Linked DNA regions of Arabidopsis thaliana. Each later gene encodes a partner of the first gene's protein in a complex. Each region holds a gene or a part of one and is shown in the gene's direction. Other genes may lie near its edges.

What was found.
Region 2: THO2 (region 1) and TEX1 share a complex: the UniProt entries of both Arabidopsis thaliana proteins name them as parts of the THO complex.
Region 3: THO2 (region 1) and THO5 share a complex: the UniProt entries of both Arabidopsis thaliana proteins name them as parts of the THO complex.

Annotation. Positions count from the first base shown.
Region 1 is NC_003070.9:8,737,630-8,748,139, forward strand, and holds the start of THO2 (THO2), read left to right. Parts: upstream 1-4,310; 5' UTR 4,311-4,434; exon of another isoform or gene 4,435-4,521; 5' UTR 4,522-4,580; coding exon 4,581-4,715; exon of another isoform or gene 4,716-4,811; coding exon 4,812-4,937; intron 4,938-5,047; coding exon 5,048-5,089; intron 5,090-5,579; coding exon 5,580-5,639; intron 5,640-6,205; coding exon 6,206-6,268; intron 6,269-6,474; coding exon 6,475-6,555; intron 6,556-6,608; exon of another isoform or gene 6,609-6,821; intron 6,822-6,908; coding exon 6,909-6,980; intron 6,981-7,047; coding exon 7,048-7,095; intron 7,096-7,201; coding exon 7,202-7,270; intron 7,271-7,357; coding exon 7,358-7,491; intron 7,492-8,152; coding exon 8,153-8,228; intron 8,229-8,541; coding exon 8,542-8,735; intron 8,736-9,149; coding exon 9,150-9,230; intron 9,231-9,384; coding exon 9,385-9,589; intron 9,590-9,667; coding exon 9,668-9,895; intron 9,896-9,977; coding exon 9,978-10,058; intron 10,059-10,147; coding exon 10,148-10,267; intron 10,268-10,355; and 2 more. UniProt on the Arabidopsis thaliana protein: Acts as a component of the THO subcomplex of the TREX complex which is thought to couple mRNA transcription, processing and nuclear export.
Region 2 is NC_003076.8:22,718,813-22,729,582, reverse strand, and holds TEX1 (Transducin/WD40 repeat-like superfamily protein), read left to right. Parts: upstream 1-4,483; 5' UTR 4,484-4,517; coding exon 4,518-4,583; intron 4,584-4,679; coding exon 4,680-4,775; intron 4,776-4,949; coding exon 4,950-5,079; intron 5,080-5,391; coding exon 5,392-5,483; intron 5,484-5,593; coding exon 5,594-5,662; intron 5,663-5,847; coding exon 5,848-5,905; intron 5,906-6,021; coding exon 6,022-6,121; intron 6,122-6,213; coding exon 6,214-6,300; intron 6,301-6,384; coding exon 6,385-6,463; intron 6,464-6,558; coding exon 6,559-6,694; intron 6,695-6,793; coding exon 6,794-6,828; 3' UTR 6,829-7,101; downstream 7,102-10,770. Other genes in the region: AT5G56140 (RNA-binding KH domain-containing protein), read right to left, coding at 1,651-1,800, 1,883-2,026, 2,109-2,225, 2,302-2,415, 2,828-2,973, 3,331-3,416, 3,931-4,121; AT5G56120 (RNA polymerase II elongation factor), read right to left, coding at 7,390-8,100; MYB80 (myb domain protein 103), read right to left, coding at 8,919-9,618, 10,032-10,161, 10,260-10,392. UniProt on the Arabidopsis thaliana protein: Acts as a component of the THO subcomplex of the TREX complex which is thought to couple mRNA transcription, processing and nuclear export. Contributes to the integrity of the endogenous trans-acting small interfering RNA (ta-siRNA) pathway.
Region 3 is NC_003076.8:17,201,599-17,213,496, reverse strand, and holds THO5 (THO complex, subunit 5), read left to right. Parts: upstream 1-3,846; 5' UTR 3,847-3,974; coding exon 3,975-4,226; exon of another isoform or gene 4,227-4,291; coding exon 4,292-4,582; intron 4,583-4,661; coding exon 4,662-4,998; intron 4,999-5,074; coding exon 5,075-5,412; intron 5,413-5,520; coding exon 5,521-5,768; intron 5,769-6,021; coding exon 6,022-6,613; intron 6,614-6,698; coding exon 6,699-6,833; intron 6,834-6,920; coding exon 6,921-7,187; 3' UTR 7,188-7,526; downstream 7,527-11,898. Other genes in the region: AT5G42930 (alpha/beta-Hydrolases superfamily protein), read left to right, coding at 73-266, 1,095-1,128, 1,637-1,772, 1,896-2,379, 2,508-2,759; AT5G42910 (Basic-leucine zipper (bZIP) transcription factor family protein), read right to left, coding at 8,286-8,351, 8,450-8,551, 8,645-9,589; AT5G42905 (Polynucleotidyl transferase, ribonuclease H-like superfamily protein), read left to right, coding at 11,174-11,898. UniProt on the Arabidopsis thaliana protein: Acts as a component of the THO subcomplex of the TREX complex which is thought to couple mRNA transcription, processing and nuclear export.

The DNA of each region.
Region 1 (10,510 bases):
TTTCCCGAATTTCAACTGATTTCTTTTATGGTTTAAGACATTGTACATCACAATTTGTACATTTTTATTGTGCTTTACATCATATGCTACGTACATAAATGATCAGGCATCAAACTTTTTTTTTAGTTGTCTCCTACGAGTTGTCTCTACATGGAAACATTCAGGCCTTGTCTTATTTTTTAATACAGAAGAATGGAAAAAACACAACAAATTATCTCATTTAGCTTTCATGTAATCCATCAATTAATGGAGATTATACGGGGCTAATACAAATTTAGGCACATTTTGGGTCAAAAACAAAAAAATTGTATTGTCATCAACATTACTTAGTTTTATTCCATGCATGATGGAACTTTGGTTGAGGATTTCGATCCCTCACAAGGTAAATTCCATCATTTCTAACAACCCAACGACGCAGAGCACCACATCGGTCAATGTTGCCTGCTCTATATGCTATGAATTCTTTATAATATCGCATGTATAAGCCGTGTTTCAAAAGACAAGTCCATCTTGTTCTTCTTCCTAGCTTGTCTCCGAAACGGATTTGTTTTATTTCCTTAAATTATAAATTTGCTACGTCTAGATTGTCGTCTCTTGAATGACAATGATACTGGAGAACCAAACCGGGACCAAGCTCGTTCATAATTTCAATTGTGTTACGTTTACAAGACAGAACTGATACAAGCAATCCAAAATACGTCGCAATAACAAACATAAAAATTATAAAACGATTCATTTTTTGGGTAACATGAAAGTCCAATTTGAATTTAATGACACCAAAGTACAGTATCTATAGTTATTTTGTGTGGTTAGTATTTGACGATTTTCCTATGGCCTTAATGAATTAGTTAAATTGAAACACAAACATGTTAGTTAATAATAGATAATGTCTAAAAGTATTGTTGACTAATAAAAAAAGCCAAATGAATTCAACATTACAAATTATTAGTGATCCAAAAAAAACTAACAAAAACCAAAATTTAAGATATAACAAATTTTTTTGCAAGTATATTAATTTAATTCCGGACGAGACAATTTGGAAGAACTGATTTGAACATAACAAAATAACAGCAGCCCTTAGGCAAATGCATGTACATTAAGTTTAACTATAAATGACCTTTAGCGGACTAGATTTTAACATAATGAGTTTATAAAGAAGAAGAAGAAGAAGAAGATGAGATCGTTAAGACATTCGAGTTTCTGAAAAGATGACTGTAAGTCAGATCAAATTTCCAATTGCTCATGGATCTGTTATGACTTTCTCTAATCGTGCTCATTATTCCGGTTGAGAACGGGAATGGAGCGAAGAATGATGAGGCTGAATCCCAAAGAACATTGTAAAATCTCTCTTTTAGTGTTCTTGAATCTCGGAAAATAATTAGGTTTAGGTTTTCATATTTTTAGTTGATTTTGGTAGGTACCCGTTTTGTTACTGGAACCTCAGTGGTAACTATCAAGTACAAAGATTAGATTTTAATGGCTTCTGATATGGGAGGTATAATGCTCTCTACCTAGTTTCAGCTCTCTAGTTATCTTGTATATGATTGATACTCTTTGTTACTTTCTTGGTAGATAAAGCATGCATGCTTCATTGTTCAAAAGAGTGCTTGCTAATTTGCTATATAGATAAAAGATCCAGATTCTGGATGTGTAAAATTTATATGATGTTGTAATTCACTTGTAGAACAAGTGTATCTTTTAATAATCAGAAAATATTGTGTGGTCGTCAGATACACAACGACGTCTCTTTATGATTCTACGTCAGAAATTAACTGAAAGCATTGCAGTGATTTAATGATCAAAGTCAATGTTTTAGATCACGTGATTTGGTCGAAGATCATAAAAATCAAAAACCAAAGGAACGAAACTTGATTACTGTCTATTTCTGTTGTCGTTTGTGTCAACTAATACTTGTACTCGTTGCTCTATTTGTTTATTATATCTGTTACTGTTAGAAGGACCAAAAGATGTAATTAAAATTTTTAATTCGATATTTGCCTAATTGCCTTGTTGGTAATATCGTGGTGGAGTCAAAGATCATCTGAGCCCATGGACTAGTTCAATAACAACCATTTCATAGTTTAACGCCCACTCAAACAAAATCATACGACTAAACCGGACATGGTTTTGTATTGAAATTGTATACAACATAATTTCTTCTATTTTATGCTGAAACAAAAGTCGACAGAAAAACAAAATCGGTCTGTAGTAGAAAAAGGAAAGAAAAAGACTTTTTTTTTTTTGTCTATTTATCACCCAACAAATGATGTTATCAACTCCGTGGTGATCTCAAAAAAGCATCCTGTTATTTCAACTGGGAATGTTGGTGGACCTAATTCATGCTTGCTCAAGCCTTGCAAACTGTTCCAAGATCCACGCGAAAATGAACAAGAACATGATGATCGAGGAGTTCGGAGCTAGGGAAGAACAGTTGTCTTAAAGAGGACGTTTCTTGTTTCCTAATTCTCTATCTTATGGAAGCATCCTAATTATGATTTGTCTTTGTGTTGTGTGTTAATTGGTGTCTTTTCTAAATTGTTCTTTGTTTGTTTTAATTTTCTTTCTATATTCCTAGGAATGGATTTGTTTCGGGTGACACTGTTGGGCTAAAACAGACACGGTTTTGTCTCTTGCACTTAACATAATTATACTGTTTGATTTCTAATCAGATTTAATACAAAAAAATTAAAAAAGACGACACACTGTCTGTTTGTCTGGATCGGAAAAGTAGTTTGTATTCGTTTTCCATATAATGGATACATATTTGATTTGCTATAAATTATAACCCTAGGTTATGAAGATTTTTTTTTTTTTTTAGGTTACGAAGAATGTTGACGTAAATTGTAAAGACAACAAAAATAGTATTTTCATCAACATTACTTAGTTTTATTCCATGCATGATGGAACTTTGGTTGAGGATTTCTATTTCTCACAAGGTAAATTCCATCATTTCTAGCAATCTAACGACGTAGAGCATCACATCGATCAATGTTGGCTGCTCTATATGCTACAAAATCTTTATAATATCGCATGTATAAGCCGTGTTTCAAAAGACAAGTCCATCTTGTCCTTCTTCCAAACATGTCTCCGAAACGGATTTGTTTTAGTTCCTTGAATTGTAAATTTGCGACGTCTAAATTGTCGTCTTTTGAATGACGATGATACTAGAGAACCAAACCGGGACCAAGATCATTCATAATTTCAATTGTGTTACGTTTACAAGACAAAACTGATACAAGCAATCCAAAATACGTCGCAACAACTAACATAAAAATTATAAAACGATTCATTTTTCGGGTAATATGAAACTCCAATTTGAATTTAATGACACCAAAGTACAGTATCTATAGTTATTTCGTGTGGTTAGTATTTGACGATTTTCCTATGGCCTTAATAAATTAGTTAAACTGAAACACAAACATGTAGTTAATAATAGATAATGTCGGAAAGTCTGGTTGACTAATAAAAAAAAACAAATGAATTCAACATTACAAATTATAAGTGATCCAAAAAACCTAACAAAAACCAAAATGTTTAATATATAACAAAAATTCTTCTAAGCATATTCTTTAATTCTAGACGAGGCAATTTGGAAGCACTGATTTGAACATAACAAAATAACAGCAGCCCTCGCGCCAATACAGGCACATTAAGTTTAACTATAAATGACTTTTAGCGGATTAGATTTTAACATAATGAGTTTATAAACAGGCCAGACCTAAAACAAATAGCTTTCGAATAACGTTGGTCAAACCGACCCGTTTTCTTTTGTTGTTGTTTCTTGAGCAAAGGAGGACGAGGAGGAGAAGAAGGAGAAGATGACTGTAAGTTGGATCAACTTTTCAATTGCTTATGGATCTTTTCTGACTTTCTTTGATCGTTTTTTTGTCCCGAGTAGTTAACGATTCTGGTTGAAAACGGGAATGGAGCGAAGAACGCTGAGAAATTTTTTAGGTTTTGGTTTCCATATTTTAGTTAATTTGGTATGTTACTAGCTAGTACTTGTACTCGTTGCTTTCTATTTGTTTATATCTGTTAGGACCAAAAGATGTAATTAACATTTTTAATTCGATATTTGCCTAATTGCCTTGTTAGTAGTATCGTGGTGGACTCAAAGATCATCTGAGCCCATGGGCTTGTTCAATAACAACCAATTCATAGTTTCACGCCCATTCAAAACAAAATCATACGACTTAACCGGACCCGGTTTTGTATTGAAATTGTATACAACATAATTTGCTGAAACAAAAGACGACAGAAAAACAAAATCGGTAAGTAGTAGAAAAAGGAAAAGAATAGTCCCCTCTTCTGCAAAATCAAAAACATATTTGCATCATCTTCACACCGTCATCATCATCGTCTTCAATTTACTTCCACCAAATCAAATAATCTCTCAAAAACCCTAATTTCTCTTTTTCTTCTCTGATCAAAATTGTTCGTTCCTCTCCCTTTTCATCTTATCGGAATGCTTATTTTCTGGTCGCCAATCGAAGTCTAAACCCTATTTTCTTAATCTTCTAGGGTTTCGAAAAGGGAGGAGAGTGAAAGATATACATACATACACACGAAAGGGGTTTAAGATGTCTCTTCCGCTACTGGAGTGTAAGTACGTGACGGAGGAGTTTGTTCGTGAAGGTAAGAATGGCAACTATGGAACCAAGCTGCCCAGCTCTGTGCCGATGCTTCGTTTCCTCTACGAGCTCTCTTGGATTTTGGTATACACACAAACACCACCTTCTCTTCCTACTACTATCCAATCACGCGTATATGTTGTTCGAGTTCCTCAACGGTGCCTCGTGATGGATTATTAGGTTCGTGGCGAATTGCCAATTCAGAGCTGTAAGGCAGTGTTGGAAGGTGTGGAGTTTTTGGATAAGCCATCGAGAGAAGAATTAGCTTCGTGTTTTGCGGATGTTGTGACTCAGATAGCTCAAGACGTAAGTCCAATTACAGTTTTGACATCCTTAGCTCAGAGATGATTGTGCAAGGTTATTGATACTGATCGTTGGATTGATTGGGTTCGTGTTCTCTTTGCTTTGTTTTGCAGCTTACCATGTCGGGAGATCAACGTTCTCGTCTAATCAAATTGGTGAGTGCTAGAATTTATTTTACGTTTTGAAAATTGATCATTGTTTGGATTTGTTAGTCTTGAGGAAAGATAATTCTAGCTCTTTAGATATTAGTGATCACAAAAAGTAACATCCTATGAATAGATTAGGCATGTGGTGTATAGCTATCAGTAGTGTCCTAAGGTTCAACCAACCGATGGCTCATCCTGGGCAGGTTGCAAGAAAGTTCCTGATTGTAAAAGGCTACTTCATCCTAAGGAGCTGAAACTTTGACCATAGTGCCTTAGATGATCTATTAGCGTAGTTTGGTATTGAATTTTCCTTGTATGCTTGATCCAATGTTCTCTGATGAGCTGCTTACAGAGGAGTTGTTAGCATATGTCTTATTTTATTGAATTTGATGATTGCGTACTTTAGTTTCTTCCTTAAAATATTCTTTCTGTTCTCATTTACCATCTCCTCAAGGTTTCTATGCTCACAGCTAATGAACCAATTGTTCTTTTTTGGTAGGCGAAATGGCTTGTGGAATCACAGACAGTCCCTCAAAGGCTTTTCCAAGAGCGTTGCGAGGTAAACATTATGTTACGTTCAGCCAATGAAACAGAGTAATACGTAGAGAATCTTTATATTAATAGAACTTAAAACAAGAAAATACAGCTTTGAGAGGTTTCTTAATAGAGTCCCCTCTTATCCCCCCTTCCACCTTTCACTAGTTCTCGATAACTCCCTCACTGGTACCCCTCATCTATATAGCATGTGCATCATGCAATCCTACTGCCCATCATAGAAACCGTAGCTTGAACAAGTCTGGAGTGATAGATAGAGACTGCTAAATAATAGTTATTGTAGCTGCTAAGGTAGTTATAGAAGTTAACTTCAAGGCTGTAGCCTGTTTCGAATGTCACATTAATCCCTTAAGACTGAAGAATTGTCCTCAAAGATCCAGTGGACCAGCTGGTCTCACGGAATAGCCCTCTTCTTCTTGCTGTAGATGTAAAGGATAGGAGCGGGCAAGTCCTAAAATGTTTGTTATTATTCCCAATTTGAGTAGTTTGTACCCCACCCACTTAACCTCTCTATTTTCTTGATCAGTAAGAAGAAAATTTTCTGAAGGCGTTTTATTTATTTTATTTTAGGAGGAGTTTCTCTGGGAAGCTGATATGGTTAAAATAAAGGCCCAAGATTTGAAGGGGAAAGAGGTGAGGACTTCACACTTCTGTAACTGCTGTATTAATATGACTTCACACTTTAGTCATCAATGCAGCTGCACTGTGCTCTGATTTACGTAATAGTTACTCTGAGTGAATTGCTATTGCGAAAGATTAATGCTTATAAGAATTTCTACTTTACCTGTGTAACTACTGCTCATTGTTTATAAGTAACAATTCTGGTTGATGCTTCTCAGGTGCGATTAAACACTCGTCTTCTGTACCAGCAGACAAAGTTCAACTTACTCCGTGAAGAAAGCGAGGGATATGCCAAATTGGTTCGTTATAGAAGATCTCTAGCAGTCTAGTTTTTTTTTTTTTTTTTTTTTTTATCTATTGTCATTCTTTCTGTCCACTTCGTTTCTATTGTCTTTTCTTAGATACTCTTTACTTCTGTTTTTTCTGAAACACAACTTTAAGGAATACCCCTTTAGTTTTTGGAAGGGATGATCTTTTCAACAATGCTGATTTGGCCTTTCCTTTTCACACGGTTCCAGTTGGAAGGCATATCTTCTGCTAGTTTTATTACCTATAACTGTGCAGAGTAATGAACATATTATCTCAGTAGAGATTCGATTAAGTCAGATTATACATACACCAACTTATAGCAGTTCCTTTTTGTGGAGTGCAGGCCACTCTTTTGTGCCGAGGATCTGCAAGTTCTTCGCACAATGCATCAGCAGCAACGATGGGAATTATCAAGGTTTTGATTCGGCCAATACATTATATTTCGCCCATTTACTTTTTCTGAACTTTATATTTTCTTGCAGTCATTAATTGGGCATTTTGACCTGGATCCAAACCGTGTTTTCGACATTGTAAGTTTTCACTGTTGCTTCTGTCATATTTTTGTTTGATATTGCATAACGCATCAATCTGTCCTTCCCGATTAGTAATAATGTACCCTTTGTTTTTGATGAATAGGTTTTAGATTGCTTTGAACTCGAACAAGATTACGACACATTTCTCAATCTAATTCCTATCTTTCCCAAGGTTTGGAATGTCTTCCTCGTATTTTTATCTTCTAATGCTTAGCTCAAGAGACTATTTTTTGCTAAAAAAAATAATTTTCATGTGCAGTCTCATGCTTCACAAATTCTTGGATTTAAATTCCAATACTATCAGAGACTAGAGGTGAATAGCCCTGTTCCAGTTGGGCTCTATAAGCTTACAGCCTTGCTAGTAAAGGAAGAGTTTATCAATCTTGAAAGCATGTGAGTAGTTTTTTCTTCAACTGTTTTTTCCGCCCTTTCCTTTCTTGCTTTCAAGGTCTTTGGAGCCTCTCGGGAATATTCAAAATCGAGCATTATGTGTAGCCTTAAGAAAGTATACTGGTTTTATCTTTTGTCGTAGACTGAAGTCTCCTTACTAATTGGATACTTGTAGGTAGTCTTCTTCATGACGATTTCTTTTCTTTTCATTATGTGAGAATAAGGTTATACTTGCACACTGGTTTTTATCCTTTTTTGCAGACTGAAGTCTTCTTTCTAATTGGATTCTTGTACATGTCTTCTTCATAACGAGTTTTTTTTTTCATTGAGAATAGGACTAGATCAGTTGGAATGTAAATGAAAGATTCTCTTCTCTTCTGCACCTGTCTCTTGTTTCTAGTTGTTTGGTATCAATTTTAAGTTTGTTTCTTACTGTACTCTGAAAGTTACTTTTTTACTTTGAGATTGCTCTTAAGGAGGACTAGCTAGTAGACTTAATTTATTTTCTCGTGAGCAACTCACTCAATTCATTAACTTATTTCATCAGTGTACTGATTCGGTGATTACTAGATTGCTACATTTCTTTGTGCCTCTAACAAGTGAAATCATACTGAATGTATGGACCCAATATTCTTATACTTTTTTGCCTGGCTGTTGTGAACAGATATGCACATCTGCTACCTAAGGACGAGGAAGTTTTTGAGGATTATAATGTTTCTTCTGCAAAGCGGTTTGAAGAGGTACAGTTCAATATATGACCTCGTCCTTATGCTTAGAGATGTTTTAAGATAGTTTTGTTCTGGCCTACCGTAAGTTGTCTATATGTTTCTTATGTGTTAAAACCTTTTTTTCCCTTGAGACAAACGAACAAACATGGTTTCTCTGCTCTTGTGGTAATCTGCTAATCTTGCCTTCATAAATTTAATAAATACTTAGATACTAAGCACTTCTCCATCTTCCTGGAAGCCAGCCAATTATTTTTTGTTTTTTGTTTTTTACTTTCATAGATTTATTCATGAGTTATTATTTTTACAAGTCCTTCCTTTTATACAGGCCAATAAAATTGGAAAGATTAATCTCGCTGCTACTGGGAAGGATCTTATGGAAGATGAGAAGCAAGGAGATGTCACAGTAGATCTCTTTGCTGCTTTAGACATGGAAAGTGAAGCTGTTACTGAGCGATTACCAGAGCTTGAAAATAATCAGACTCTGGGCCTACTTAATGGTTTCCTCTCTGTGGACGATTGGTATGAACACCGAATCATATCTTTTTACTTAACAAATCCACTGTCGTCAAACCAGTCCATTTGGTTAACAGGTTTCTTGAACCAGTGCATGTTAAATTTTAAGTTTTATTATTCTTCATGAGCATGAGATTTCTTCGTGGAGTACTCTATATATGATTGTTATTTTTTTGATAATTGCATCACCTTCTGTAACTTGAAAATTGAACTTGAGGGCATATTGGATGACTGTTACTGGTGTCTTCTGCCGAATTCACATCTCAGGATCCATACTATCCTAGAAAATTTGTTTACATACAAAGCTATTTTGTATATTTAACTTATATTAAAAGCTTGCTAATTAATCTTCCCCTTTCTGCTCAACTGAGGTGAAAGCTCTTTTTCTTATTATTTTTATATTAACTCACTTCTTTTCAGGTATCATGCAAATATCTTGTTCGAGCGTCTTGCACCTCTTAATCCAGTGGCACACGATCAGATCTGTAGTGGGTTGTTTAGGTTAGTGAGTAATCCTTTAGCGCAAACTATTCTGCACCAGATTTATAGCGGCTTCATTTCTTTGCATCTTCAGCTCTATGTATCCAAAGAGATACTGCAGCTCTGGCCACTAATCTATGATGACAACAATGATTTTTTTGGTCTATGTTTTCAGGCTTATAGAGAAGTCAATCACTCATTCTTATCGCATTGCTCGTCAGACACGTTTTCAAAGTTCTTCTTCTGCGAGCACAGTTAAGCTCACACCCACTGCTAATACGACAGCTAATAGGACTTATCTAGATCTTCCGAAAGAAGTGTTTCAAATGCTTGTTACTGTTGGACCCTACCTCTACCGCAATACACAATTGTTGCAGAAGGTGCGCTGACCTTTAAAATATTGAATGTTCTATACAAAATTAAAGATTGAAGCTGATATATATTTATCACGGTGGCAGATTTGTAGAGTATTAAGGGCTTACTACTTGTCGGCCTTGGATCTTGTTCGCGATGGGTCAAATCAAGAAGGTAGTGCATATGAAGTTTCTCGTGGGCACCTGAAAGAAGTTAGGTTGAGAGTGGAAGAAGCTCTAGGAACATGTCTTCTGCCATCGTTACAGTTAGTACCTGCAAATCCAGCAGTTGGTCATGAGATTTGGGAAGTGATGAGTCTCCTTCCATATGAGGTTGACTTGCTACTGTTTATTTGTTCCAAATATCTTTGTGTAGAATGTGATTTTCAATATTACTGATTAATTTCGTATTTAGGCTCGTTATCGCTTATATGGTGAGTGGGAAAAGGACGATGAGCAGAATCCTTTGTTGTTGGCAGCAAGGCAAGTGGCAAAGGTATAGTAGTATGACTCCTTTGATTCTCATATAATACAAATGGAAAGATACATCCTCCAGATCCTCATGAGACTACTCTCGTATGTCAGTTGGATACTAGAAGAATTCTGAAACGGCTTGCAAAAGAAAATCTGAAGCAGTTAGGAAGGATGGTGGCAAAACTAGCTCATGCCAATCCCATGACGGTGCTTCGGACAATTGTAAATCAGGTGTCGATCTACTACAAACTGTTGCGTTGCTTCTATTTTGTAATTGAATTGTTCTGACGGGGCTAACTGTCATGTTCTTGTTACACAGATTGAAGCATACAGAGATATGATTGCTCCTGTTGTGGATGCCTTCAAGTACTTGACACAGGTCCGTGACCCCTTTTCTTTTGTCTTTTTTGTATGATATGCTCATTTCACCTTATGCCCTTACTCTCCCAGGTTTTTGTCCATTTGGTCGAAAAA
Region 2 (10,770 bases), on another chromosome or scaffold:
TAAGATACACCTCCTGAAGAAATCAACCAGAAAAATCTCGAAATCAAACACTCAAGCCCAAGAGACAATCCGATCAGAATTCGATCAAACAGAGAGAAAATCAACGAACAATTCAGAAACAGATCAAGCAATTACGCATCAGTTAAAGGTAAATCATCAGAAGTAGGTACGAGAATATTCTAGAACCAAGATAACAGAAAAAACACATGGATCGACGCAAGGAAACAAAACCGCGAGAGAATCAAACGACGAAGATCAAGAACTGGGAAACGAATAAACCCTAAGAGTAACGATGATTCAAATCGAAATCGAGATTTATCGGAGCTAATTTTGACCTACCTTTTGTTCGGTTTCTAGGGTTTTGGATTTGATGATCTTCGGAAATCTCAAGGGGTTGTTTTGAAGATGAAACTTGTTAGCATCGATACGGTTTATATAGATTCCTCTCTTTCGAGCGGTGAAGCTTTGCCACGTAGCGAGCTAGATTCTGTACTTATGGGCTATAATAAGGCCCAATCGTTTACTGACGGAGCCCATTGACTCTTTTGTCCATAATAAGAAACGTTATGCAAATTTGGAAAAAGAAAATAGAAGAAGGATTAAACAAGAAATTTTCAAAAAAGAAACAGGAAATCAAAAGAAAATGATATTTATTTCAGATTGCAAAGATTTGGTACCTTAAGGGGAAAAGGGAAAAGTGGAAAACTTATCACAATTTTTTTTGACATATGTTCCTTTTGTTCTTAAAAAACTTTCTTATATGAAAAGAAAAACACTTTCTTATATGCAAATAAAATCTATACATTACAAAAATTGTTATGCATTTGCATATTACTAATAAAGTAGTATTTGTGAATGGTAGATTTCATATGTAAGATGTTACTCTTACCAAATTCGATAGGATTTTAAAATTATCTTTTATATAAAGTACATAACAATTTTTGAATAGGCCTTTTTTGTAAAACAGTAAAGGAAAGCTACCTTGCATCACAAGAAACTAGGTTATAAGGGTCACAGGCCATTAAACCGATTGACATATGGGTATACTAACCGATTTACTTAAATATATAGATCTGTTTAAAGTTTAATCAAGTAATCTTTCAATGTTGAAAACAGAGTTGACATGTAATAGAAAATGTCGACTTCCAGTAATAAAAATGTGAAAAATACTCGAGAACAGAACATTTGCTTTACATAATTCCACATATCATATTGAAACAAGCTTTACTTTGACGTTTATGTATCCAAAACATATTATGATTATTATCATTACCAATACCAGACACAAACCATCATCATGATTTAATGTTTTCTTTTTGCTAAAACAACAAATAAACAAAAAACTTAAAAGAAAACTGTTGGAACCCAACTTTCCAGACATAAAAACATAAACAAAAACAAAATCAAAGTCTCGGAGAGAGACAGAGACTCATCAGCTCTTGTGTTTCCGTTGCAATTTTGTCATCTGATCTCTCTCCGGGACAATGATACATAGACTGACAAACACATTTCATAAATCATATATACAACATTTCTACCCCAAGGACAAGAGACAGTACCGTGTCGTCAAGAGTGGTATGGCCTTTTTGTGTCGACTTTTGGATCGGTTTCATATTGCTTTATGATCACAGCCAAACTGTTCGATGGTTTTTACCCTTCTCTTGTTTTGGCTCTCTTCATACCAAGGCTATTGTAAGGAGAAACAGAACCGGACATTGGAGATCCTTCTTCACGAAGAGTTCCATTGAGCAATGCTAGCTCGCGCAGCTGTTGTTTCTTGTACATATCATGGGTTTCCTCCTATAAAACAGAAACCGAGTGTGAAAACTTTGTAACAATAACTGGTTTAAAATCAAAGGGAGGGGGAGAGCTAAAAACAAACCATAGGAGTAAGAAGATCGTCAAGTATTTCCCGAGCTTGCATGAGCCGTGCATCGACTATTTCAATCGGTAATTCTGCTTCCACTAAGATATGAAGTGGTTCATTTAGGTGCTCGTATCCCGGTTTTCCTCTCATCATTTCCTCCTACAAGAAGAAATATATTAACACCTTGTACAAACATTGAAATGTAGATACAAATGAAGTTGTAAAGTTTAATAATAAATACCTTAATTGGATCTTTTATACTTCCTCTTCCTCTTATAAGAACACGGCAATCAGTACTTGCTTCAACTCGCTTCAGGGAGTTTCCTCTAGGACCCAGGAGGCGACCAACAAAATTGAACTGCCATATAGAAAATTAAGGAGTTACATTCCAACCAGGAAGTAGTATATCTCAGTGTAGAAATGAAAGTTCATACATTCGGATAATTGTCGACTGGAATATCGACCCTGATTGTACGCTTGGCGATGAGACCGGACGAACTACCAGGTGAGTTAAGCCAATTTGGTCCCGGAGATGATGGAACAGATCTCTGCAAATGATCAACCAACAAAATTAGAAGCAAGATCAACCTTTAAGCATAAGCACATGAATACTGCAACTTCTTGCCCTGGAACTTCATTCAATGAGAGTGGTCACTGTATCAAGGCATTTCAACCTGTAGCTGTTATATCCTAATAATATGCATACAGTGACCACAGATATATGAGAAAATTATAGCATTAATTTCAATCCTACTCGTGAGGATAGTGGAGTATCTAATTAGTGTTGATCTAAGGTATGAACATACAAACATTACGGATATGAAGTGTTAGCCTACCTGTCATGATAAACTAGGACTAAAAGCAGTCAAATATGTTATGTCAGTATTATAACTTAAGTCAATAAAACTTCTATTGCAGTAGTATGAATTAGAGAGTTATGTTAATGGTTAGTAGTCATACTTCTGATGGAAACTGGGAGGCCCATCCATTCATGTCAGCTCTTGCATTCTGAAATATCCCTCCAGAAGCCAGAGGGCTAGGGTGGTCAAGCCCACTCTGACTTAAAACTGTAGCATTCTCCAACAGTGTGGTTACACGCAAAATTTCTGTTCCAAAAATGTCAATTTGCAAGAGTAAGACGCACCAGTTAGAATTAGTCAACAAATCAGTCACCAAGACACCAATGAATGGAGAGACAGCATAGTTAATTGAGTTAGCTTAAAATATATTTTTGCTCTCACTCTAGTTAAATACACTCTGGTTAAATAGAATGAAGTCAGTATAAGAAATATAGAATTAGTCATTTCGTGATCTACTTCTAATAGCTAACAATTAGGTCTCTCTTAGCAGTACTGTTTAAGAGTTTATCAACTGTATTATAGCTTCATGAATCTGAAGCAAAGAATGAAGTATTATGTGAGATGAAAATACAAATAATAAACAACAAAAACAGTAATGCTCACCTTGGTTTAGTAGCCGAAATGCATGTGGAAGCACAGGCAGGAATGGAGTAAGCTTATGACGCTCTGCAAGTAACTCTGAAAGATACCTGCCAAAACAGAAATTGTGCAGAGTATCCAAATTAGTAAAAAAGCCTCAAAGACACATCAAACTTACAAACAGATACACTCAAATTCACTCTAAATCGATACAACCAGATTCAAATTTCCATTCTTTTGTGAAGTGGATCTAGTCAATCTTCCAAAAATCGTATTTTTTTTAACAGTTTCATCAGCCAAGAACAGAAATCAACAATAACAGAAACGAACACAACCAATGAAATGATCCTCACACACTAAAGACTTATGCTTTACAAAAAATGAACTGGATTGAGACAAATCTGAAATAGACTGAGCTAGTTCCGAAACATAGATCCTAATATAATCAAAAGAAAACAAAAAAGACAAAAATCCAGATTCGAGATACACTATTAAGATCTAAAAATCAAAATCAGCAAAGCAAAGATCAACATACTTCATCAGATACATCAGCTAATTATAAAAGATCACCAAACAATAAAAAACAAAAATATAAAAGAAGATGAAAAACTAAGATTCGATTACTTCTCTTGCTCAACGAAGACAGAAGACTGTGATCGGAGACCACCGGAGTAATTAGGAGACTGAGGAGCAGAAGGAGGCACCGAAAGAGACGACGAATACGTCATAAACCTCCCTCCGCCGCCACCACCAATACCACCACCACTTCCTCCTCCTCCACCACCACCACCACCAAGCGACGACATCATCATCATCTCGAAGACAACAGAATCAGAGTAAATCTGTCGGAGATTAGAAGAAGAAGAAGAAGCGGCGGAGGCAGAACCAAAGCTGTTGTTGTCTCTCTATAACGTCGGTGGATTTAAGAGGTCATTTTATAGAGACTGTGAAATGATTACTTGTTGTTTGCTTAGCTGTTTTTTTTTTCACCTTTTTTCTTTGTTTCATATTTTACCCAATTTTACCGCTCTTCTTGTTAGTTTCTCTCTGAAGACTCTTAACCATCTAGAAGGTTTTTTACATCCGGTTTACTAAAATTCGATTCGGTTTATCTATACCGGAATGACTAAACGCTGCGTTTCAGGAAGCGAAGCTCTGATATTCAGTAGGCCGCGAAGGAAGGTTGAAGAAGAAGAGTTGAGAATTAAAAAATGGAGGAGACGACGATTCCTTTCAAGAGCTTACATAGCAGAGAATATCAAGGTCATAAGAAGAAGGTTTTTTTTTTCTATCTCCAGTCTAATTTTCTGTACTCAATAAAACTTGCGAAACCCTAGTTTTTTGCTGAATCTGGGGGAATTTTTGGATTGAAGGTACATTCAGTAGCTTGGAATTCGAATGGAACAAAGCTTGCTTCGGGTTCTGTTGATCAAACGGCTCGCATTTGGAATATCGAACCACACGGTCATGTAATTTCTTTACCTTTTTGAGCTATGGGAACTTCTATGTGTTTTTGATGATGATGAATACATATGGAGAAGTATTGTAGATTGAGTTAAAACTCGATTATTATCTTTGTCATTGTTACTTTTTGAGTTATGTAGTTTTTGTAATTTGGTTGTTTGTGTGGTGTGTGGATACAGAGCAAGGCTAAGGACCTTGAGCTAAAGGGTCATACTGATAGTGTGGATCAGCTATGTTGGGATCCCAAACATTCAGATCTTGTTGCTACTGCCTCTGGTGATAAAAGCGTTCGTCTTTGGGATGCTCGCAGTAAGTTATATTCTTTTAATCGTTTAGTTTTGCTCCTGAAATATGCCTGGAGCTTGGTTTAGAAATCTGTATATTTTCTAATGGATTAGCTATGTGTCATTCACAAATATTTCTCGCAATCTTGGCCTTTGCTTTTGAGTCATATCGCGGAGACTATTGATTGATGAGGATCGGATCTAAGTTTCTTAGAATTATAAATTAGTTATTTAGCCAGATTCCATAAGAGAGGAATTTGATCAGGTTTTTGATATGTGGCTACTATTGTATGTTTTACTATCAATTGCTGAGATATGTCTTCTTCGAGTTCTACAGGTGGAAAATGCACACAGCAGGTAGAACTTAGTGGAGAGAATATAAACATCACCTACAAACCTGACGGGACACATGTAGCTGTTGGTAATAGGGTATTGTCTCGAGCCCCATATCTTTACACTTTCATTGTTCTTACTGTCTATGGATTACTTGATAGATCCCTTTTCATAGTCGTTGTCCTTTCTCTTACTGGCCAATGTAGGATGATGAGCTTACAATTCTGGATGTCCGTAAGTTTAAACCTCTACACAGGCGCAAATTCAATTATGAGGTAACGTAAGCTCAGACTCATGTTAATCTTTATTAATGGCTTTTTTTTTATAAGGCTCTTCCGTATCTCCTGTTTCAAGCTCATGCGGTTATATGTCACCTAAGTTCCTTGTTCATGTAATAATCGTCAAGTAATTTTCTGGTGCCGTATGGAATGTTCTCTTATCTTTTGTCTTCTTGTAACAGGTTAATGAGATTGCTTGGAACATGCCTGGAGATTTTTTCTTCTTGACTACTGGACTTGGTGAGGATTTTAAATTCTGTACTTTCCTGCACACGATTCCCTACCAAAGATTTCTTTGTTTTTGAACTTGAGAAAATGATCTTACTGAAAGTTACTTTGTATGTTGTCCTGCTCAGGCACTGTTGAAGTTCTTTCATATCCATCTCTTAAACCACTTGACACTCTCACAGCCCACACAGCCGGGTGTTATTGTATTGCAATTGATCCTAAAGGGAGGTAATATATATTTACATTTGTGGGCTGGCCTCTGAGACACGAATGATAATCTTTTTGCTTTTGCATCTAATTCTTCCTCTTTACCTTAACAGATATTTTGCTGTCGGGAGTGCGGATTCCTTAGTAAGCCTTTGGGATATCTCAGACATGCTTTGTTTGAGAACATTTACCAAACTTGAGTGAGTATCAACATGAATTTTCCATAGAGTAGAAAAAGGTTTAATTTCTGTTACATGTTAGTAATTTATAACTATTTCTCACAGGTGGCCAGTCAGAACAATAAGCTTCAACTATTCGGGAGAGTATATTGCTTCAGCCAGTGAAGATTTATTCATTGATATTGTAAGTGATTGCCCAGACTTAAACACTGCTAATTTCAATGTAGTTTCCTCAATATGAGATTAGTTCCTCGTATCTGACCACTAACTACCAAACAGGCTAATGTCCAAACCGGGCGGACGGTGCATCAGATTCCATGTCGGGCAGCCATGAACAGTGTTGAGTGGAATCCCAAATACAATTTACTTGCATATGCAGGTGATGACAAGAATCCCAAGTATAATACTGATGAAGGTACTACCGCGTATTAGTACTTCATTGTTAGCAACAACTCAAAACTCTAATATTGGTAGCAGAAAATGAACAATGACAACAACTTGGATCTCTTTGCAGGTGTTTTCCGGATATTTGGTTTTGAGAGCTCGTAGGAACAGAGCACTGAATCGGGAAACATGATACACAACTCCACTTGATTGTTCCTTGTTGAGTTAGAAAAAGTTTATGTGCCTAGTGTACCTAAATATGTATTGTCAGTATATCAAGTTGGAATAATCTTACAGTATCACTAAATACATTGAAAGTTTGCAGTTCTGAATCTGGCATTTTATTTATTGCAAAAATTTGTTACTATACAAGCAATGTTGTTTATTATTAACGAAGAATGAAATTAATAAGATCAAGATCAGAATTCTAATCCCGAATTACATCAATTTTCTACTATGTGTGAGTACTGCTAAAAGTTACAGGTTGTTCTTATTCCCTCCGGCGAATCTTCAGTCTGGGAGATTTGACAGCTACTCTCTCAAAGCTAGAACAGAGGCCAATGGTAAGATCGGACCAAAAGCATCATCCCCACAATGAAGGTTGAAGAAAGAATGCAGAGTCCTGAGAAAGAAAACACATTTATTACTGAGAGTCCAATTTTGGATTAAAGAACAAGAAGAGCACACGATTTGCTTACCGAACAAACAGTGAATAGGAAGAGTTTGTCAAAATCCGCAGAGGATGAACTTTGAGACCGGGAAGAACAACCCTGCAGAGCAAAGAAGAACAATAGTTATCAAATACTGAGAGAACCAAGTAACAGGTTTCCACTTGATCTCAACGCTTGAACTCTTCATCCTCTTCCCACTCATCGGCTCTTTCGACAAATCAAAGCTCGACCCTTTCATCCTCAACTCCAAAACACACCGTGTAAGCGTTCTATTATCATTCCTCTCCCTATTAACACCTCTGTAAACTTTCCAGAACACAAACAGCTTAGCTTGAACAAGAAACACCAGAACCAATGAAGTAGCTAATGACACTGCAGAAGGTATCCACCATTTCTTGCAAACCGCATTACTTTTCACCACGTCAGCATCATCAGAACAAGAAGAAGAGTAGACAAGTGTGAAGAAGAACCCATGGAAGACTAGGAAGAAACAACAAAGCTGAAAGATCTCTCTTTTGATTGACTCTAGTCTTGATTCTTTAAGAAGAACACGACGACAGAACAAATCTTCTTCTCTTTGCCATAACTTCAAAAGCAACAAATGTCCTGGACTCTCTGAGATTTCAGACAACGGATGCTGCTGAATCACTTTGAGTATTCCCATTCCCGGATTTGAGACCGCAACCAACTGTTGTTGTTGTTGTCTCTCTTTATGCTCTTCATCTACTGGAATCTCCACTACATGAGAATCTTTAGTTCCGGCCATAGAGAAAAAAAAGATTGAGACTTTATGAAGAAACAGAGATCGGAATAGGAAAGCAATTAGAGAGTAAGATGAAGATTGAAGATTTGAGTTCGTTGTGTTTTTTTAGTAAGAATTCCTTTTCTTTCACAAAATTTCAGGTATTTAAATTGTTGTTCTTTAACGGCTATATGTACAACGGTCGGATTGTTTTCTTTTTACGTTATGTTGTTACTGCTGCGATAACATAGTAAGAGACCTTTTCTCACTTTAACGGCTATATTTTCTCCTCCAAAACGCATATAGCCAATATTTGGGCCTTTAATGGGCCGAATGATATGCAATGTGCTTTATAGTTTAACTAGGCCCTATGATTCCATTTTTTTTCTTTTCTTTTCTAAAGTATATGATTCCATTGTTTGCTTTTGTTCCACCACAATTTATAACAAGTGATATATTTATGAATTTTTCTATTACTAAAATAATAGAATAAAGTAACAAATAAGATTCTGTTTTTAATTACTTTCAAAACACATACGCAAGTTATTGGAAATGACATTTTTGGGATTTTGTAGACTTCAACGCAGAAGCCAACATCAAAGGTTTGTAATTTTGTATGTCTGTTATCTATTTATTATACTCAAGATGAAAATAATAAAAACTCTTTATTTACATTTCTTCATTTATTAAAATGCTTTACAAAGCAAAACTTATTAATCTCTGTAAAAACAGAAAGCACCTAATTAATCATACCCAATGTTTAACTACCAATGTGATCGAAAATGAAAATCCAAACAATGAAATCTTAAAGAAAAAGGAAAAAACTTAGAACCAAATAAAAATCAAACCATATGATTGATGAGATCATCAGCTTGTAAATCCCACAAGACATTATCCACATTAAACACATGTTGATGATGATGATGGTTCCTCATCATCGTCATTCCATCTCCTCTTCCTCCTTCAGATCCAATCTCCTCTTGATCAACCACTTCTCCCTTCAGCTTCCTTCTCTCCTCCTCCTCCGCTGCCGCGGTTTCAGCTACCGCGGTACGTATTCCTCCGTGACCCCTCCAAGCTGCAACGGCAGGAGACGCTGATCCATCATTTCTTTCTTCATTCCCAAACGAAGACGAAGAGGATCCATATGAGAATCCATTACCCATGTCCCATAACTTCATTATCCCATTCCCATGGTCCAAACCATCCATCTTTATCTTACCAGCTTCATTATCAGCAATCTCGTGAAAGTTGTTTGGGTTAGGGTTATGGTTTGAAAAGTTGATTTGGTTTAGGTCAACACGTTTCTTGGTGAGCAAGTGAAGCATCTCGTCCTTGAAACAGCCGAGGGCAGCTTCGGCTAGGTGAGAAACCTGAGGAGGATTAAGTGTAGTGGTGATCTCTGCCATTAGATGCGAGAAAGGCTTGTGGGTCACCGGATCTATTCCCATTCCTGACAACTTCTTCTTCAGCTTCGTGTTCCAATAATTTTTCACATCGTTGTCTGTCCGACCAGGAAGTTGCGCCGCAATCAACGACCACCTGAACCATATATGTCAAAAGATTATTAAATGTTTCCCAAGAAAGATGTTAACTGTTGTTTCTCATGAAAAATCCCAGACTATTCATCAGCAATACATCATCAAACTCTATTTATGAGTCGAAAACAAATTTATAGAAAATTAAAAGTTCCCAAAAGTTTAAAACCCTATACTTAGATTTGGTATTATGGTATATAGAACAAAACTTATGTCTTATTCAGTTTCTTGTGTCCCAAGAAACTTGTCAAAAAACTCATAAAAACAATTCATCAGTAAGTCAGCATCAAAATTTCAAAAACTTAGTAAAGAAACCCGATATTTATGAGTCCATCTGTAATTTATACACCTAGATTAAATCTTTTCAAGAAAATCATAAAACCGTAGTTAATTAGATCTAGTGAGTAGTGATCATACCGGTTACCAAGAACAGAGTGAAACTTGACAATGATATGTTCTTCAGCCTCCGAGAACTGGCCATGTTTCAAATCCGGACGCAGATAGTTTGTCCATCGCAGCCTACAACTCTTCCCACATCTTTGCAACCCTATTAAAGACCAAATTTTGTCGATTCATTATATTACATTACAATGATCACTTGACTAAATAAAACATTAAAAAAAATATAGAGAAAATTTAAATTACCAGCATTCTTAGGGATGAGACGCCAATTACGAGTACCATGTTGAGCAATATAAGAAGCCAATTTGTTGTCTTCTTCAGGAGTCCATTGTCCTCTCTTCACATTCTCCTTTTCACAACATGGAATCCGACCCATTTCTTCTTTCTTTCTTTCTAGTTTTTATCTCTTGATCGATTTGATTACTCTTTACTTAATTTACTAACGAGAAAAAAGAAAATTTGGTTAAGAAATGAAAAAAACTTATATATATCAAAGATTGCCCCACCCAAAGAATTAAAACTGCCAAACTTTTGATTTTTGTACTTTCTTGTAATCAAGGCTTTTAAATTGCAAAAGAAGAAAGGAAATGTATGTATATATATAATAAAATTGATTTAACAAAAATGAAAACATAGTAAAAATTAGCATCAGATGTGCATGAATTGATTAAACTCTTTAAAGAATTCAACGCTACAGAGCGTGTGATTCCCTTAAGCCGGTAGGTCACCCACTCAACGCCTGGTCAACTCCTTT
Region 3 (11,898 bases), on another chromosome or scaffold:
GAAATCCGCTGTATGAATATCGTGAGGTAGACCCTAACTTTTAACAAATATATTATTTTGTAACTATTTTAGGAAACATTATTTGGCCGGAAAAAGCATCAGCGACGTTTGCATCACTAAACGGAAACCTAGACCGGCGGGTAGAGTTAAACCCGAAAGTAGAGAGAGGAAGTAAAAGATACAAAGCAATGTTGTCAATTATGGCTTCTAAGCTGTCTTACGAGAATATAAACTTTGTCAGCTCCGTTCTTCACAACCATTGGAAGGTTTTATTCTTTAATCTTTTCCTTGTTGTTTACAACTTTTACATGTTGCTAGAAAACGATAGTAGTTTTGTTTTGCTCATTTAAATTCACGTTCTATCATTAAAATGCATTTTTGGATCAAATTTGTTGAATATGACTGGTAATAAAAATAGATTAAGAAACTGAATTTCTTCGACATTTTATTATAACTTCACCAATCATATATATAAAACACAGTACTCTATATCCGCTGGAAGAAAAAAAAGAGAAATTTTCCTTTCCCGTAACATATTGAAGAAAATAACTTCTGTTAAATTGAATTTCTAGTTTTTCTCCATACTTTTACTATGCTATACACACTAGTCACAGTCAATATAATTTCGTTTGCCTAGTAAATGAAAAATGATTCTTTTTTGTTTGAAAAATTATTTTACTTTTTGTTGTCAATAATATACAATACACGGATTTGAATTTGGAATTTAAGAAATTAATAATATGTACTAGCAAAACTTACATATCATCTTCTATATATAATGTCTATAGATGATAACAATCAATTTTGGGATTAAAAAATAATAATTCTAGAGTCTTTTTCTTTTCTAAATAACATTTTTTTTATTGTTATTTTGTTTTCCTTTGTAAAGTAAAAAAAGAGAAGATTTTCCTCGCTTAAAGTTAGTTACATATAAAGACACGACAACTAATGCATATATAATCTCATTTAGCTGCCATCGTCCAATTATTTAACTTATCTAATAGCATGATCATGCATGATTTCCATTGATTATTAAATCATGAAATAATTGTGTTGGACTTATAATCTCTATGTTTTTATTAAATGTGGCACAGATGGACTTATTAGGTTTCTACAGCTGTTGGAATGGTGAGACTAATTCCCTTTTTTTTTTATATTATTGATGAATAATTAACTTAATGGGTCCGAAGAAGGCAAATACCACGTGAAAACACTGTCTGAAATGTGCAATATATTATTTTTCTTAACTAAAAAGAATTTGATTCCAATAATAATACTCAAATCAATGATAGACCAAAAAACTTTATATTTAGTTCAATTTATATATTGTCTTTCCTAAAAATCAATTTATAAAAAGATTAAATTCTCTTACCTTTTTGCCTCTAAATTAAACATAAAATTACGACTAGAAATTTTATGTTTGTATCTTTTAAATAGTTGTCTATGTGTGCTAAAATATTTAAAATTTTTAGAGACAATAACCTCAAATTCTCTAGAATTTAAATTTTCCTAAAATACTTCATATACAGTTTTTTTTTTCATTTTTTTCATATACAGTTTTAAGATCAAATTCATTTTTCTATTTATATTATATAAACAAAAAAAATTAATTTATTTTTTCTTCCTTGGTTTTTAGGTTACCAGAAACAAAGATCAACGGAGGTGATTGTTATAAAGGACACAAGTACAGATCCAAACCTCATCATCGTTAGTTTCAGAGGCACTGATCCTTTCGATGCCGATGATTGGTGTACAGACCTGGATCTCTCTTGGTAATTTTAGTTTCTTTTGTTATAATTTATTTCCACACACAAACAGTCTAGGTTTTTGTTTTTATACTCTTTAAGTTCATCCTTTAGCCCCCCTAATAAAACTAGTATTGATTTCCAAAATAGGTACGAGGTTAAGAATGTGGGAAAGATTCATGGCGGGTTCATGAAAGCTTTGGGCCTTCAAAAAGAAGGATGGCCTAAAGAAGTAAACCTTGACGAAACCCAAAACGCAACAACTCTATATGCATACTACACTGTTAGGCGTCACTTAAAAGAAATCCTCGACCAAAACCCGACATCTAAATTTATATTGACCGGACATAGCCTAGGTGGGGCTTTAGCGATCCTATTCACGGCTGTTTTGGTGATGCATGATGAGGAGCAAATGCTAGAGAGACTAGAAGGAGTTTACACATTTGGACAGCCACGCGTAGGCGACGAGGAGTTTGGAAATTTCATGAAAGATTCACTAAAGAAGTTTGACGTGAAGTATGAAAGATATGTTTATTGCAACGACATGGTTCCTAGGTTGCCTTTCGACGACAAAACACTCATGTTTAAACACTTTGGGGCATGCCTTTACTATGACAGTTTCTATAAAGGAAAGGTTGGTTGCATATATATGACAATCTTGTTTCTTTGCTTTAATCACTCATCCGTCTAATGTCGCTTACGCACTTACCCTACTGATGATATCTATCTACATTGTTGTTGTTTAATTTGTATTATGTTCAGGTAGAGGAAGAGGAACCAAACAAAAACTACTTTAATCTCGTATGGGTTTTACCAAAGATAATGAATGCACTGTGGGAGTTGATACGTAGTTTCGTCATGCCTTATTGGAAAGGTGGAGAGTTCAGAGAAGGATGGTTCTTAAGGTGTTTTAGGGTTGTTGCATTGTTGATTCCTGGATTACCTGCTCACTTCCCTAATGAGTACATCAATGTTACTCTTTTAGGTGACTTACCTGACTCGCATCTTGATTAAATTTTGACGAAGTCATAAATTCTTTTGAAAAGTTGATGTGTTTAGCTTTTCTAGGGTCTCGTTTCGGTGATGTAGGTGTTATTTTCTTATTTTGGCCTTAGATCATCCTTTCTTTCTCGCAATGATTCTACGTCTCACTTTATCTTTATCTGCATCAAGAAAAGAAATGCATAAATATTTCAATAAATACTTAGTGAAACGATTCTCTTACCTGCGAGTTATACACACAAGCAAACCAATATAACAATCAACAAATAAATCATGAAATAAATCAAACCAATGAACAATCATCCATTGACACAACCATCTCGGGGGATTGAATAATGGTACCAAAAATACTGCCTATACATACAACAAATAAATCACACAATCTCAATTGCTTAGATAATCTCATGGTCACATACCCACCTCGAAACAAGAATGATTTTGAAACCAAAAACAACAATCCCACAACGAGCAGTAACTTCCTACTCACCAACAATATCTCAACTCACCATACATCCAACTACAACAGCAAACCAACCTTTAACCTAAATTGGAAAAAATCTGAAAATAACCCAAACAATTGGTCTCAAATATTGAGTCACGAATCGCAATCTAACCGTCCAATTCAAATCTCCACCGTTGAAACTCAACCCTCAAGATGTCCTGAAGCTAACCTCAAAGTTTAGTGATGATCTGACCGCAGGTGCACTCGAGATAATTTGTTTAATACACTCTGGTCTAAATCACGTCTGAAACAGAGGACTTTACGAAAACACAGATAACTTTTAGAATATTAACTCAAATCCAAATCCGCAAAGTGGTAAATCTAGTTATAAGGCTTAGCTACAACTCAATAAAATTTCCGTACCATAGAAGGCTATTTGATTGATCAAACCTCTGTTCTACCACGACATATCTGATATGTCTCTCTCTTCCTTCACCAAAATTATCAAGTAGTTTCCTTTTTGGTGTTTTTTACATAATATTTTTGATATCAAACCAAATTTTTTCTTGTCTTTATACAGAATTTTCTGAAAAAAAATGTTACATAATCTCTTTTACGCAATTATCATCCCATCATGGAGTAGATATAATATTTGTAACAAAATATAGTTTACATAAAAATCATAAATAGTTTGACAAAAAAACAAAGAACAAAAAAAAAGAAGAAGAGAAAAATCATAAATCCTGTCAGAAGTACCGGAGCGAGCCTGACTGGAGAAATCGAGAATGGAGGACGGCGAAATAGAGGAAGGAATGGTAACTGCCGACGAATTCCCGACGCCGGAAGTAACTACCATAGAGACTATACAACCTCCCCGAGAGCCAGGAAAATCTCCACTCGAGCTACTTCGAGAGAGCAAAACCTCCGTAGAAGAAATCGTCGCGAAGATGCTCTCCATGAAAAAACAAGGAAACCACAAATCTGAGATTCGAGAACTCCTCACTCAAATGTTCCTCAACTTCGTCAATCTTCGTCAGGTACTTACCAATCTTCTCCCTCCACCTCTTTCGCTATACGATACTTATTAGGGTTTTTTTCGCAGGCGAATCGGGCGATTTTGACTGAGGAAGATAAAGTGAAAGCGGAGACGGAAAGAGCAAAGGCACCTGTTGATTTCACGACATTGCAATTGCATAATCTTATGTATGAGAAGAGCCATTACGTTAAAGCTATCAAGGCTTGTAGAGATTTCAAATCTAAGTATCCTGATATTGACCTTGTTCCTGAACAAGACTTCTTTCGTCATGCTCCTGAAGCTATCAAAGATCAATCGCTTTCAAGTGATAGTTCTCATGTTTTGATGCCTAAGAGACTCAATTTTGAGCTTCATCAGGTTGGTTAATCATCACCATCTCTGAAATTCATTCAACGTGATATAATGTTTCATTACCTTTTTATGTTTTTTGATTCAGAGGAAAGAATTGTGTAAGCATCGAGCGAGATTGGAGCAACAGAAGAAGAGTTTATTAGAAACCATTGCGGAGCGTAAGAAGTTTTTGTCGAGTCTTCCTCTACACCTTAAGTCTCTGAAGAAAGCATCGCTTCCAGTACAGAACCACTTGGGTATACAGCACACAAAGAAACTGAAGCAGCATAATTTAGCTGAGCTGCTTCCTCCTCCGCTTTATGTTCTATACTCACAGCTCTTGGCACAAAAGGAAGCTTTTGAGGAGAGTATTGAATTGGAGGTAGTTGGGAGTCTTAAGGATGCTCAAGCTTATGCTAGACAACAATCCAGAAAGGACTCAGGTAAGTTGTTTTGAAAATTTACTGTGTTTTCTAATACTAAAACGAAAAGAATGCTAATTTGGTATTGGTTTTTCAGGTATGTCGAGTAATACAGAGAGTTCTAGGTTGGAGGATGATGGACCTGATGACGATGATGATGGACAAAGGAGAAGAAAACGACCCAAGAAACTTACTAGCAAAGAAGGTTCTGACAAGGCAGGATTATATCAAGTCCACCCTCTCAAAATTGTCCTTCACATATATGATGATGAGATACCAGATACAAAATCCTTGAAACTTGTCATTCTCAAGTTTGAGTACTTGCTGAAGTTGAATGTTGTATGTGTTGGCGCTGAAGGCTCTCAGGATGGACCAGAAAAAAACATATTTTGTAACTTGTTTCCAGATGACGCTGGACTTGAGCCTCCTCATCAGGTAACTTTTTGTTTCTGTGTTTCAGTTTTCTTCTACATGTGACTTTTGATGGCTTTACTTTTAAAAATGCATACTCAATTCTCTTTATATGGCCGGTTTTCCATGCAGTCAACCAAGCTCATCCTTGGTGATGGTCAGACGTTTGATGAGAACAGAACTTCAAGGCCTTATAAATGGGTACAACATTTGGCGGGAATTGATATTTCACCGGTTTTATTAGGCCAAGAAGCTCATAACACTGACCCAGCTAAAAGTGATACGTTTGTGCCTGATCTTTCATTGTATCGCCAGCAGCATAGAGTGCAAACAGTTCTGCGAAGAATACGCTTGCGGAAAAAAGCGCATCTGGCTCTTGCGTGAGTTCACCACTCTGTATGTTTTCCGTCTTAATTAAAGAACACGATGCAAAGAATTCCAGAAAATTAGTAGACCACCATGATAATCAGCATATGGTTTGTACATTTAATAGTTTGGGTTTGTCAATAACTTGGCGGTCAATTTAATCCCTCTGTAGCATTGTCAACTTCGTGATAAGAGCTTCTATAGGTAATTATTTCTGTTGATATGTTTATTTTTGCTGAATACTTTGGAAACTTCTACTGGCTACAGGGAACAGCTTGATTTGCTTATGAAACATGAGTTACCAGTGGTGAACTGCGAAGATGCTCCTTGGGCACTGCATAAGGTTCTCTGTGCTTTGGATTCCTGGTTACATATACAATCTTCAGCTAGTAAGTCATGCTCTCTGACTCTGAACAGTGTGGAACAAGTTCCAGAACCTATGGAAATCGATGTAGATGGAAGATCTATTTCTGGAAAAGAAGATTTTGAAAGTATACGGGAAGATGGAGAACTTCCCTCTTTGGTCACGGCGGCTGCTTCGTTAACCAGTTCCAATCATACCCCATCGAAAGTATCTAATCAAGCACGGTCAAGGCAGTTGGCCTTGATGACAAAGAATCTAGATTCTCCGATTAGCAAAGGAAAGTCCCCAAGTTTCAAGAAATACGAAGATGATTTGGATCTTGTTCTGGACGATGATAGTGAAATAGATGAGCCAACCGGAAGAACTGAGGCGCATGTGGAAGAGTTATGCCCTGAGAAAGCTGATAATTCATGGGTGGATTATGGTTCGAGAGAGTTTGCGCTTGTGTTCTCCAGGAAAACAGATGGCGGAAAGTTGTGGAAGTTAGAAGCAATGGTAACTTCTAAAACACTATCTTCTAATACGGTATCTTCCCTATATCTTTTTCTTTCTTAAGTGTTAAATCGAGTTGTATTGGCAGGTACAAATTAGCATGGAGTATCCTCTTCGACCTCCTTTGTTTTCTCTGTCTCTCCACGCATCTTCTTCATCAGGAAATGAAAATGGGACAAATGAAAGTGACCATTACAATGAACTTCGAGCAATGGAAGCAGAAGTAAGTGTCAAACCCAGTAACATATACTAATCTTTACTCGATGACACCAAAGATAACGCCTTTGTAACCTTTTCGTGGCGGTATCAGGTGAACCTTCATATGTTGAAGATTATTCCTTCAGATCAAGAAAACTATCTCCTATCTCATCAAATCAGATGCTTAGCAATGTTGTTCGACTATTACGTGGATGACCCATCTCCAGATTCCAAAAGAGGAACAGCCACAACTGTGGTTGATGTCGGTTTGTGCAAGCCTGTTGACGGTAAGCTTCTTGTGAGATCATTCAGAGGCAGAGATCACCGGAAAATGATCTCATGGAAGGGCAGAGGATGTGCATCGGGTTATCCATGCTAGAGATTACATCGCCACTCACTTCTCTATATTATCTTTCTCTGGTGGTACAAGCAAAAGTTTTTGCATGTAACATTTTTTTATCGTATAAACCGTTATTGAAACAGCCTACTTGTTGGGTGAGGACCTGGTCTGTTTTAAACCTGGCAATGTTTCAAGTCCAATCCGTTTTAGCCTGCTCTGTTTTGGTCTCGATTTAAGCATTAAAGCCTAGCGGGTAGCTTGGAAACTAGAAAAGTGAAAAAGGGCTCGTCACAGGTTTTGGAGAAAAAAAAAGGAATCAACTCGTAGACAACCGTTATTACAGGTTGCTACTGCAATCATTGACAAATGTTGTTCCTGCAATTGGAGGTAGTGAAGAAAACAAAACCAAATCAAATTGGATATTAGTTTATAACTTTCAAGTGATTATATAGTTTGATTTACTTTAACTTTTAGTTTTTTTGTCATCTTATTTAAGTACAATTACCAAGGAAATATGCAAGTTTGAATTACAAGAGCGGGCGGAAAATAAATACATCCCAAAAACTTAATCCAAAAGAAGGAAGCGAATCCCTAAATTACAGGAAAACTGTCAAACGTAAATTTTTACATATCAAAAAGACAAAGCAAAATCAAAGGCATGAACGAAGACCTAAGAGGAACCACGATTTGCTAAATTCACTCCCATGTCCCAGGAAGAACAAAGCCAACCACAAAAGACAGTGAAATTTTTCGTGTTTTGTTGCAAATGAATCAACACTGAATTTTTTTGATTTATTATAGGAGTTATTTTTGTATATTGCAAATGAATCAATAGTGAAAAAATTTAGCAGCAATTATTGAGCCTATAATATAATTTTATAGTTTTATGGTTGAGATTAGTATGACATTGTTTTCTAAAGCCAAAATAATAATATTTAATAGTAGTATTTTCTGGCTCCAATAAAAATAAGTTTTGGATTTTCCCCTAGACCATGAGAATTCGATCTTTAGGACATTATCAAATGGGTTTAAGAATAAGATGTCTAATAAATAGCTTATTTGGTCAAAAATATACGAAAACAAAACATGATGAACAAAATAAACTCATCATCATCCTCCAACTCGGGTTTCATTGATTCACTTGATGTCCGATTTCGTTCTCCTCAGCTTTCTCTCCGGTCGTTCATGAAGGCTAATCATTCCCTTCACGTATTATTTAGATATACAAAAAGTTAGAACAAGGTTCTCAAGTTTTTAATTGATGTACGGTTGAGGAAATAAGATTGGAATAAATAGATTACTGGTTCCATTTGTCTTTTCCGCAACTCTACATGTTGTTTTAGTAGCTCTTCATAATCTTTCTTTAAGTTTTCAAGTTCAACTTCAACCTCCATAGTTTGAGCCTAGAGAGCAAAAATGAGCAGTTTGGTACTTATAAAACACAATCAATCAAGATGGATAGATAATATATATATATATATATAACATTTTCTTACTTGCTTTCGAGCCCGTGATCTCGCTGCGGATTCTCGGTTCTTAATCTTTCTCCTAAGCTTTTTGTCAACGAATTGTTTTTCCGCGGTAATTTCACTATTAATCTTCCCACCTCTTGTACTAGTACTACCATTACTAATGTATGGAGATGGTGAGAGTAATGAAGACTCACCGTTAATCTTTTGTTTCCCATTTAATGTTGGAAATGGGGTAACCGGTGAACATGTTATGGCTTCACTTGGAATTGTCGCAACACTTGGGACCAAGCTTCTCTTCGTATCTTGGAGACTTTGGTTACCAGATCCCAAGGAACCATTTGAGAATCGGATTTGTTTTCCATAAGAATAACCATTTGGCATAGACATGATAGATTGTTGTGGTTGATATGTTGACATAGATCCATTCACATTTTGATGCAAATAAGAATCATGACTCCTTGGAACCATATTGTTCATAAAATCAGAAACCATGGCTTTTGGCTGAATCTGAACACCCAAACTAGTGTGTGGATTACCGGAAATCGATGACGATGAGTCATGAATGGAGCCACCATTGGTATTACCTCCTCTTGCTCCAGCACGGATGAAAAACTCTTCAAGAGTGATTTCCCCTAAGGTTTGTTGTCCCTGAAGATGAGTAATGTTTGTTACTCCTCCATTGTTATTGGTGTGTTTTTCCTCTGTGATAGATTTCCAAACTTCACCAACATTTTGTTTGCTAAGTGTTGGAGGCAGAGTAGTTGAGCCTTGCCTCTGCGACCCCTCTTGTGTTTCTTCAGCACTTGATATATGCTTAACCAACTCATCCATGTTCATTGATCCACAATCTAACCCTAAGCTGGTCTGAAACTGATCTACTGTCCATGAGTATATTGATCCTTGTCGGCTTAAAGAAGTACTAACTGGCAAATCATTCACCAAGTTTTTAAGTCTCCAGTAACTATCCATTTCACCTGACACAAATCCGAGTGATTAGTGGCCTTAGAAAACAGTTGTTGAAATGTAAGAGCTTTTGAGGTTAAAAATCATGCAAAACAGAGGAAAGGAGAAATTTTAAAACAGAGGGAGAGAGAAATGATCAAGAAAAATATTCATTTTGTTTCTCATAAGTTTTTTTTTTTTTTGGATTAAAAGTTTCTCATAAGTTTCAGTGAACCAAAAGAGTAATTGAATATATAAGAAAACTAATGTATGGCAATTAACCCAAAATAAAATAAAATAATAAATCTAAGCTGAGTTAAGCACATTATCCAAATGAAGTAAGAAAAATCTAGAATAAAAGGGATCTAATAAAACAACAATTTGTATAAATAAAAAACACTATATAAGGAGCAAATAATTTATTTTACCTTTCTCACTTAGTGTATCTATCTAGTAATTGAAAGTTAACTTTTTAAATATAAGAAAGATCTAGATGAGTTGATAATTTTAAATATATTTTTTTACATTTTTGTATAGATATTTTTCATAAGTATTTATTTATATTTAAATTAATTTAATTAAATAATAAAATTTTAAAATGATTAGATTATTAATAAAAATTACACAATGCTGTTGTAAACAACATGCATTATTGCATTATGTAGATTTGAACGTCGGTAACTATCCAAAGATAATATTTATAAAATTAGTAAATTGATATGATGTATTTCATGGTAATTAATCTACTGAATCAAAATCGCACCACACAAATGAATTCATGGAAAACTATCCTTTTGACTTGATAATAGGTTAGCGGGTGGTTCTCTTTTTAGAAATTTAGACCATGAATGGCTTTAATTTGTAACTTTAACTGATGTTTGGCTTTTGGTTTACATATTTTCTTGTTTTTTTTTTTGGAGTTTTTGTTAATGATACAATAACTAAGGAAAAGAAGATAAAAAGGGTGGACTATAGGTTTTTTATAGGTGGTGTTGCACGATAAAATATTTTAAATTTTTATAAAATTTACTAAAGAATTTGAACTCAAAATGATGTATATTATAAAATACTATGAAAAAATATAAAAACATAAGATTAAAATTATCTGCTAAAGGTGAAATCAAAGTTTATGACACAGAGACATGACTCTAATAGATTGAGACAACCTTGAAAATATGTTTTTAACCATAACTAATATAAGATACATTTACGAAGAATATGGTAAATGGACGTAACCCTCAAAAGCATTTAACGAGACTATATTAGCAGTAGAACAACATCATAGTGAAAGATGTGATCCTAATTGAAAACATATCGAATGAAGAGTTATAATGATTAAGAAAACGTTTGACAAAAAGTCAAAAAGAAAAGAAAAGAAGAGTTACAATGATTTTACGCAAATTTTCAGTTTTTTTTTTACAATGGTAAATAAAAAATTTATTCAACAACAAATTATGATAAAGAGACACAAGACTAAGAAGCATTTATTGAGATTGAGTTAAATCCATGGACATGTTTAACAAATAATCAAAAGTAATAGTTATATTTAGGAAAAATATATATAAATATAAGTATAAACAGAAAGTATATATAACCAAACTGGACATAGTTATGACAGATGAGGAACGGCATCGAAGACATCTTAGCGCCTCGAATGTGTCTCAGGTTTATATAGGTGGAGTTGAATCTGTGCTTCACGTGTTTAGAGACTGTCCAGCTCAATTGGGGATTTGGGTCAGATTTGTGCCGCGAAGGAGGCAGCAGGGGTTCTTTTCGAAATCTCTGTTTGAATGGCTCTATGATAACTTGTGTGATAGGAGTAGCTGTGAGGATATACCGTGGTCCACCATTTTTGCGGTGATAATATGGTGGGGGTGGAAGTGGAGATGCAGTAATATATTTGGGGAGAACACGAAATGCAGGGACCGTGTGAAATTTGTTAAAGAGTGGGTTGTGGAAGTGTATAGAGCACATTTGGGTAACGCTTTGGTTGGAAGTACGCAACCTAGAGTTGAACGGCTGATTGGTTGGGTGCTTCCATGTGTGGGTTGGGTGAAAGTAAACACAGATGGGGCGTCTCGTGGAAATCCGGGGCTGGCTTCTGCAGGCGGAGTACTACGGGATTGTGAAGGAGCTTGGTGTGGTGGCTTTTCTCTAAATATAGGCCGATGCTCAGCTCAACATGCAGAGCTATGGGGAGTGTATTACGGATTGTATTTCGCATGGGAGAAGAAGGTGCCTCGAGTGGAGTTGGAGGTGGATTCAGAGGCGATAGTGGGTTTCCTCAAAACAGGGATTAGTGACTCTCATCCGCTGTCATTCCTGGTGCGGTTGTG